Linked DNA regions of Ovis aries. The protein of the gene in region 1 interacts with the protein of each later gene in a pairwise test. Links are inferred from orthologs where the notes say so. Each region holds a gene or a part of one and is shown in the gene's direction. Other genes may lie near its edges. The genes, in order: LRP1 and MAPK8IP1.

Region 1 (3,798 bases):
ACCGTAGCCACGTCACAGGGTTTGAGGATCTAAATGAGTTAATATGTACAAAGTGTCTCAGCCCAGGTGCTGACGCAGAGTCACCATGTTGAAAAGTGTTAGCTCATATCCTTAGGAACCCCCAGATCTCCCAAGGGGTGGGAGCCAGGGGAGGCCACTAGTTGCTCCCTAATGTAGGGCCATGTTGTTCCCTCATCTGGGGCCACCTAGCTGGGTTTTCTGGGTGCTGGCATCAGACGCAGAAGGCGCAGCTGAGGGGAGTGGGGTTGGCTGCGGGCTCTAAGCAGATTACAGGTTTCCGACCCCACCCCCACTGCAACACCCTCCACCTCCAAATGAGGCTTCCCTTGGCCCGTGTAGACTGCCCCAAAGTAGGTTATTTGTTCCTTTCCTCCCCTTTCCCTAAGAAGGAAATCAAAGACAGGCCTTAGCCTTCAAACTCAGGTCTTTTCTCCACCATCCCTGACAGAAAGGAAGTGCTTCCTGCATCTCTTAGGTCCTTGTGCTGCCCTGGTGTGCGCCCAGTCACCCGCCCCGGCCGGAGGGGTCTGCTGTGGGCCAGGGCCTCAGGGGCTCCTCTTCCTTTCACTCCCCATCCCCCACTCCCCTCCCTCGCAAAAGCACATCTGGTTTGTGAATCTCTCTCATTCCAGCTTTTGGAGTTTGCCAGCTGCTGTTTCCTCTGTCGAGCTCAGGCCAAAAATGGGGGTGGGGGACAGCAAGGGGACAAAGTGAGAAAGTGAGGGCCAAAGCAGGGGGGGATCGTGGCTGGGATGTGGAATAGAGGGGAGATTGGAGTGACCAACCAGTGACCTCGGGCCTGGGCTGTGAGTTCTACCCGGCGAGGAGTGGGGGCATGGACTGCTAAATCCAGGTGGGGGCAGGGATGGGCATGGGGACCTGTCTGGGCTCCAAACAGCCCATCTGCCTCTGAATCCCATTCCAGCCCCCTCTACCACCGCTCTCCCCCGCCAACCCCAGCCCATCTCGGCCAGCCAGGGGAAGAGGACCGTTCTCCGGCATGCTAACTAGGCTGCCTAGCAGTTTCCCGGGAAGACCTCACAGCTGGCCCAGTGGGGCAATGAACTCAGCATTATCCGCCTCCTCAAGGGGCCTTTATTCCCTGCTCAGGGTGGGGGGGCAGGGGAGGGGGCTCCAGGGTGGGGGGCCTAGCCAGGCCATCCTTGATGTGTTTCCTGAACTTGGCTCTCACCCTGGCCGGCGGCCTGAGTGCAGTCCCCGCTGCCAGAGGCGGGGGTTGAGGGGAGGACGTCTTCCCAGTGTGGCTCTCCTCAGAGCCCATCCCTCCCTGCTCAGAGCCCCGGCACACTTTCTTCTGCTCCGTCCCAGCCCTGAGCTCACTCTGCCCTGCGGTCTTCCTGGGGCGCCATGGCTCCTGAGGGGCCACCCCACCCCTCCTGGGCACCCCAGTGCCTCATTTACTGCCTGGCACAGAGCTGGGCTCTGGTGCATGACAGCCGAAGAGAAACGGGATGGACGCAGATCGAGGAAGAGGCAATGCAGGGCTGGGAGACTGGGGGGCAGCAGTGAAGGAGGTGGGGCTTGCCTCCCTCCCGAGGAGGACATGCTGACAGGGTTGGGAGGAATAGCGCCTGAAGACCTCTCAGTGGAAATGGGGAGCCTGGTGTCAACTGGCTGCTTCACAGCTTAGAGTCGGCTAAACCGGTCTAAGTCCTGATTGCGACATTTGGCTGCTGTGTGACCCCACATCCTCTGAGGCTGGGTTTCCTCATCTGGGAAATAGTATTACTCGTACCTAATTTGTCATATTGTGGAGAGGATTGAATGCGATGATATATGGAAAGAACTGGTTGATCACACTTCCCGGCACATACTGAGGTAACAATGAGAGTTAGTGTTACCATGTTTAATTCATCCCTGGAGAATGAGGTAAGAGAATGGGGTGGGTGTAGAGAGCAGATGGTGGGGTGAGGGATTAGGGCAAAGAAGAGGTCCTGGATATAGGAACTTCTTGGGTTGGCTGGTCTGAAACCAGCTCCTGCAGGTCACCCCAGCCATCCCCCTGCCTCGGCTCTCCAGCCCTGTCGGCTTGAGCAGTCTTAGGTACCTATTAACTCTGAGGGCATCCGCAAGGGAGACTGTTTAGAGAATGGATGTGGAGGCAGAACTCCTCTGTTGATGCCATCTCTGAGACACCCATGTGCCAAGGGCACCCCAAACACACGTCCCGTCTGGGGAGGGCCTGGTGGTTAGGAGTTGGAGATGTGTGGGGTGATGTGTTCCAAGGACCAGGAGTGTCCCAGAGGGTGAAGGAGCAGAGAGGTTAGTAAAGACCAGCTCTGGACCTCTAGTGGGATGGAGAAGATAAAGAGAAAACCTGTCAAAAACCTAAATGCCCCATCACTCTCAGTCAGCAGAGTGGAGGCTGCTGTGGTCTGACCAGAGTATCAGAGAACACAAGGGCTTTGGTCCTGAGAGCTGGGAGAGCACACACCCAATGGGCAGCCTACAGGAGTCAGTCAGGCGGCAGCAGTGTGCTTCCTGCGTCCTTCCCCTCCCCCATCTCAGGTACACAGTGTTCAGAAGTGACCCCCAGCCCCTCCCTCCCACCCCTGCTCCACACATGAAGCTTGGGTTAGAGCCTGGGCCGGATGGAGACTGCTACTGCCTGAAGAAGGAGGAGGAACCCTTGAGGGCTTTCAGACTGTAGAGCGGCCTCCACCCCTATTCACACCCCTGTTTTCTTCCCTTGGCCCTAGTCCCTAAGACTTGCAGCCCCAAGCAATTTGCCTGCAGAGACCAGATCACCTGCATCTCAAAAGGCTGGCGGTGTGATGGTGAGAGGGACTGCCCGGATGGATCTGACGAGGCTCCCGAGATTTGTAAGTACCTTTTCTAAATCCCTACCCCCATCGCTGATTTTTCCCTTTTCCTTTTGGCCCAGCAGTCTACGATGAAGACAGTTGAGCTTGAGCCTGGTGTGGACCTTGCTCTGTGATTGTTTGTACATGACACAGCTAAAACTGTCCAACTGTCCTCCCCCTGCTCTTCAAAGAGCCCGGCCAGGTGTTTGGTATGCTCAAAAATGAGCTTCCTCAGCTGCTGTACCCGCCCCCAACCCCAGCCTCCCTGAGACCATATTCTCTGGGCTGACAGCTTTGCTGGAAGGTTCCCCTCCCTTCTTTCTGGCTCCTTCCGCTTCTTCCCACCTCTGAGCCTCCTGATCCTTGATGGGTGCCCCTGGGCCTTGCTGGGTCCCCTTCCTGTCCTCAGGTTCCCAGGCCAAAGGCCACTGGCTCTGGCTCAATCTCTGTACCAGAAGCCCCACCCCTGAGCATTTCCCGCCCTCCTCCCTCCCCCTACCCTCAGTAAGTGGTGTAATCAGAGGCAGCTGTTTAAACTGGGAGAAAGGTCCCCACCCAGCCTTTACCCTGCCAGTGGGGGGTGGAGAACTTGCTGGCGGGACCCTGGAGTCCTGGGCAGCTGGCAAAGTCTCCGCCTTCAGAGCCTCTCCCTTGCTGGGGTAGTCTGGGCAGGGGTCTGGGGACCCTGCATTCTTAGGTCTTTCTCCGTTCTCTGTTGGGGTTTATCATGTCCCAGCCCCATCTCCACACCCTCACTCATAATTATTAGCGGTAATTTTAGGGCCAGAAAAGGAAACCACTAGTTCTCTCTGCCTCACCTTGATACCCTGCTCTGGAGGTGTGGGATCCAGGGACATTCTACAAGCGTTTCTATGGTGGCTCAGCCTGGAGTGTCTGCTCGTCTCAGGCCACCTTTATGCCCCACTTTTCGGACCCCAGTGTTTGGTGTTGA
Region 2 (4,545 bases), on another chromosome or scaffold:
AGGGTGCTCCCTAGTAGAGAAGCACAGACACTAAGGAAAAATTATTAGCCACTGTGGCAAAACTGCTTTCCTGGGAGGAAAAGTCAGCACCATAGCAGCAAGCGGTTACCTTTTGGTCCTAGTGAAAGGAGCCTGAACCAAGACAGGAAAGATTATGTGTCCCCTCTGGGCCCAGGAACACGGAGAAGAGAAGTAGCAAAGGCCTTCAGCTCTAGGTATTAACCTCAGAAGTGGAGCTCAGGGCTTGTTGGCTGCAGGGCAGGTGCCCACTGCTCCTTTCTGGGCACTACGCTGTAGGCGCAACCAGTGGGCAGTCTAGATTTGCACATAGGCTTCCACAGCTGTGAAACAGTGCCTTTTCAGAAGGACAGGACCTCTGCGGCTCTCTCAACTAGCCATACAAGCCAGTGAGATTTGGCAGAGGCTCTATGACCCACCAGAGCTGGGGACCTTGCTGTGCCCAGCAGCCTGAGTGCCCAGAAGTCCATGTGCTGTGAGAGAACACACAGGCTTAATCCTCTTAGGGGAGAGAAGTCCAGGAGGAACCATGACCCGGAGTTGCAGGGCAGAGGCACTGGAGGGAGCCGAAAAACCATCAAAAGAATCCCTAGAAGTCAACTGTAGGGGCAGGAGGAAAGGCCCCAAGTCTTAGAATGTGAGAAGCCTGCTATGGGGTGTCTGAGTGCAAAAGGGGGTGCTCTGCAGGAAATACAATTGAGGTGCTAAGTGAGGAGAAGGTGACGTCAAAGTCCTGACATGAGGGAGGAGAAGCTGAGAGAAGCCAAAAGGAAAGGCTCAATTCACCATTAGAAGTGTTTGGGGCTGAAAGGGGCTTAAATCACTCTTTAGAGAGGAGACCCTCGGCAGAGTCCTTGGGTGGAGTGGGGGGGGGGAGTCCCCTCAAGGGGTGAGCCCTGGTTCCCAGCTGGAGGTGGGGTGTTCCCAGCCTCCAGTGCCAACATTTGTATTATATTTCATCCTCACGACCATGAGATGGACCATTATCATCCCCATTTCACAGATGAGAAAAAAATCAAGCCTTAGGACTGTTGTAACTAATGTGAAGTCACACCACCTATTCTACTAGGAGAGCCGGGCTGTGACTTCACCCTACCTCACTCCAAAAATCTGTCGGTCCTAGGAGCCAGCATCCAACACCCGCTAGTGTTTCTCTGCCTTCCTCCACGACTCTCCTTTCCTGACTGCCTTCTTTGTCTGCAGCGAGGGGGTCAACTCGGGTCCCAGGGACCAAGATCCCGCCATTAGTTACTGCATACCCGGACGCTAGGCCCACCCCAGGAAGAGAGCCCGCAGGGACACAGAGGGCTTTGCGGAAGGGGAGGCTGTTATTACTGCGTGGGATTGAGGGCGGGGCGGAGCCAAACTCGGGGACCGCGGGGCTGCGACTTCAGCACCTTGGAGAGCGCAGCAGGGGCGGGGCTCCCGGGTAAGGGGCGGGGCGGGGCGGGGCATACCCAAGCCTGGCCGAGGACCCGGGAGCGCGCTCGGAGGCGCTCGCGCCAGTCCCGAGAGCGGCGCGCGGTCTGGAGCCGCGCCCTGCCCTGCGCAGGTGCGCCCGCCGCGCAGTCCCCAGCCGATCCCCGCGGCGGCGGCCTCTCGCCGCGCCCGCGCCTCCTTCCCCGCCGCCGCCGCCGCCGCCGCCTCCGCGCCGCGCTCCGCCCGGATGGCCAGGGCTGTGCGGGAGAATGGCGGAGCGAGAGAGCGGCGGCCTGGGCGGGGGGGCTGCGTCCCCGCCTGCCGCCTCCCCGTTCCTGGGGCTGCACATCGCGTCGCCGCCCAATTTCAGGTGAGGCTCTCCGGCCGCCGCGCCCCACCCTTCAACCTAAATCGATCTGCCCGGGCTCCCCCCACCCCGCACCCGCCTCGCAACACGCACTCATGGGAAACCGCAGAACGAGAGGGCGGCGTGGGGATGGGGTCTCTTCCCGAATCCTCGTCAGCCTCAAGTCTAGACTCATGGCCGATGCATATCCGCGGTGCGGCTCTCTCCGCCATTCCGTGTCCGAGGCGAGGAGATCCTGAGCTGGAACTGGAGGAGGGGGCGCGGAGGCCGCCTTCTCTCCGACTTTGGAGCTGCGGCGGGGTCTGGGGTCCGCGTTGAGGTCCCGCAGGAGGCAGGAAGCCTGGGGCTTTGCCTGCGCACAGTCGGAAGGCTCCTGAATAGAGGATGACACTAGGTTGGGGTGCCCCTCGGGTCCCAGTTTCTTGGGGCGACCGACAGCCTTGGTGCTAGAGAGAGTCGCAGGCCCCTCCCCCAGCCCTGCCTGGCCAGAGGGGCCCAACTCCCAGGCCTGGCGTGGCCAGGACCTTCTGTGCATTGGGACAAGCACTGACCTGGTCAGATGCGTGTAGGTGCCGAACGAAGGCTCAGCCTCAACCCGCGAGATCGAGGCCCGGCTGTGGGAGGGGGAGTCTGGGTTGGAGCCCGCGGGAGTAGCCACGGTTATTGGTGGGGTGGTTCCTGCTGGGGTGAGTACCCTGGATCCTGATCTGAGCTCCTGCTTCAGCTCTCTCCATGCCCCTAGTCTGGCCTTAGGCAACTGGGAGGTGGATTTCAGAGAGGTGGCAGTGGGTGTTGTGGGGGTTGGGATGGACGTCCCTCCGTCCTCATCCTGGCGGGTTGGAGAGGAAGAGGAGGAGGGGTTACCGCTCCCGAGCCCCCAGAAAGAGGCCTCCATTCCCCATTGTTCCTCCATGTAATGAGCTGGTGTCTGCCCCTCTCCTGGGGCCTGCACCCGCGCCGGGCCCCAGCTGGGCTCTGGCGCCAGCCCCTCTTCTTGACCAAGGGGTTTCTGGCTCCCCGGCCCTCAGGTGGGCAGGGGCCTCCAGGGATCGCTAACGGCATCATCTTTAGGACTGGAAATCTCCCAGAAGGCCCGGAGCTGAGCTGCCAAAGACCAGATGGAGAAGGCCGGGCTCCAGGGCTGGGGGCTTTGTGGTTCGAGCCTCAGAGTAAGGAGGCCGAGGTCTGAGACTCACTCCACCGGAGGTGAACTGCGCTGCCTTCCCACCAGCGCTGCCCTCCTTCCAGGAGGCCCCTCTGTGGTGGCTGAGCACAGCCCTGAGACAGACGTGGATGCGAATCCTGGCTCCACCAACTTTCTAGCTGCCTGACCTGGGCAGCTCTTTGGGCTTTCCTCAGTCTCATCTGTTGATGAGCTAATTCATATTGATTCCTTCAGGTGCATCACGCTGGCACTCAACAAGCATCACCCTCCACACCGGCGGGCGCTGAGGCGGCTCATTCCTGCTCGGGGCATGTTCCCGGGGCTGGCTGAGGTCTCCCTCCCCACCACTCTGGGCGTCAGGATGGGCCTGCCCATTTTGTAGATGAGAAGACTGAGGTTCAGGAAGGCGGGTGGCTTCCCCGAGGGGAGTCAGGGCCTGAGGCTGCGTGTTCAGTCCACTCTACCTTCAGGCCCAGCCTGACCCGGAGGACAGCTTGGCCTCCCCACCTGCTTTCCCCTCCGCAGGTGAGAGGGCTTTCCGTCCCTGCTGCCCCCGGCGGGCAGGTTATCCTGGACTCCTGAGGGACAGCGACTGATAAGGAGGGCCCGCCAGTGAGTGTGCCCAGCCCTGGGCCCGGTGGGCCAGGGTGGCACTGTGCCAAGGCTGAGTGTGGGTTGGCCCTCCGGGACACCATGGCCTGGCTGTGGAGATGTGAACAGTAAGGCCAGTGTCTCTGGCCCCGAGGCCTGCCCTGCCGGCTCCAGCAGCCCCCGCTGCCCTTTCCCTGGCCGCCTCTCACAGTTCTGAGCTCGGCTGATGGAGCCCGGGTGGGACTGCGCCCCTGTGGCTCTGGCCTGGCTTTGAATCCTGGCTCCGTCCCTTTAGCCGCATGCTCAGAGTGGGTGCCGAATGCCTTGGGCTGGTTTTTTCTCCATGATGCCTACTTTGGCCCTTGCTCAGGGCGGCCCTAATACTTGGATGAAACAATACATGTTGAGTGTTTCAAGGGCTGTGAAGAGCTGTATTCATGTCGGGCTATTCCTGTGGGTATTATTGTGTGTGTGTGTGTGCACGTGTATGTGCATGCGTGCGTGTGTGCGTGTGACCCAGCACCACTGTCCACTTCCAGAAGGCACAAGACGTCAATACCTAAACTTTGGTTTGCCTGAAGCCCGGCACAGAGTAGGTGTGCAGTGCTTTACTATTTAACCGGGGATGCAACTGGAGAGTTCAGAGAAGAACGCTGGAAACCCTGCCACTTGGGAGGCCTTTGCTCTGCCCAGGCGCCGTTCTAAGCACTTTCTGTGCAAGGGCGCCTCGTCCTGCCCAGAACCACACAGACAGAATCTTGTCGTTATCCCCACTTTGCAGATGAAGAAACTGAGACGGGAAGAGGTTGGATAAGTGGCAGAGGTCAAGTTCACAGCCACCCCAGAAAGAGAGGGCCCAGAGGGATAACGATGGAGAGTTTGGGGAGGGGGACACAGGTGTGGCTCTGAGGAGGGCGAGCATTTATTTGGTGAGAGTTGGTGTAAATAAACCTTTTTTTTTCTGATTCTAGAAATGCTCCAACCA

The links.
Region 2: the proteins of LRP1 (region 1) and MAPK8IP1 interact in a two-hybrid assay, tested with the Homo sapiens proteins (2 studies listed by BioGRID). The link is inferred for Ovis aries from reciprocal best matches to the Homo sapiens genes LRP1 and MAPK8IP1.

Annotation. Positions count from the first base shown.
Region 1 is NC_056056.1:162,479,793-162,483,590, reverse strand, and holds part of LRP1 (prolow-density lipoprotein receptor-related protein 1), read left to right. Parts: intron 1-2,741; coding exon 2,742-2,864; intron 2,865-3,798. UniProt on the Homo sapiens protein: Endocytic receptor involved in endocytosis and in phagocytosis of apoptotic cells. Required for early embryonic development. Involved in cellular lipid homeostasis.
Region 2 is NC_056068.1:74,845,226-74,849,770, forward strand, and holds the start of MAPK8IP1 (C-Jun-amino-terminal kinase-interacting protein 1), read left to right. Parts: upstream 1-1,585; 5' UTR 1,586-1,706; coding exon 1,707-1,807; intron 1,808-4,545. UniProt on the Homo sapiens protein: The JNK-interacting protein (JIP) group of scaffold proteins selectively mediates JNK signaling by aggregating specific components of the MAPK cascade to form a functional JNK signaling module. Required for JNK activation in response to excitotoxic stress.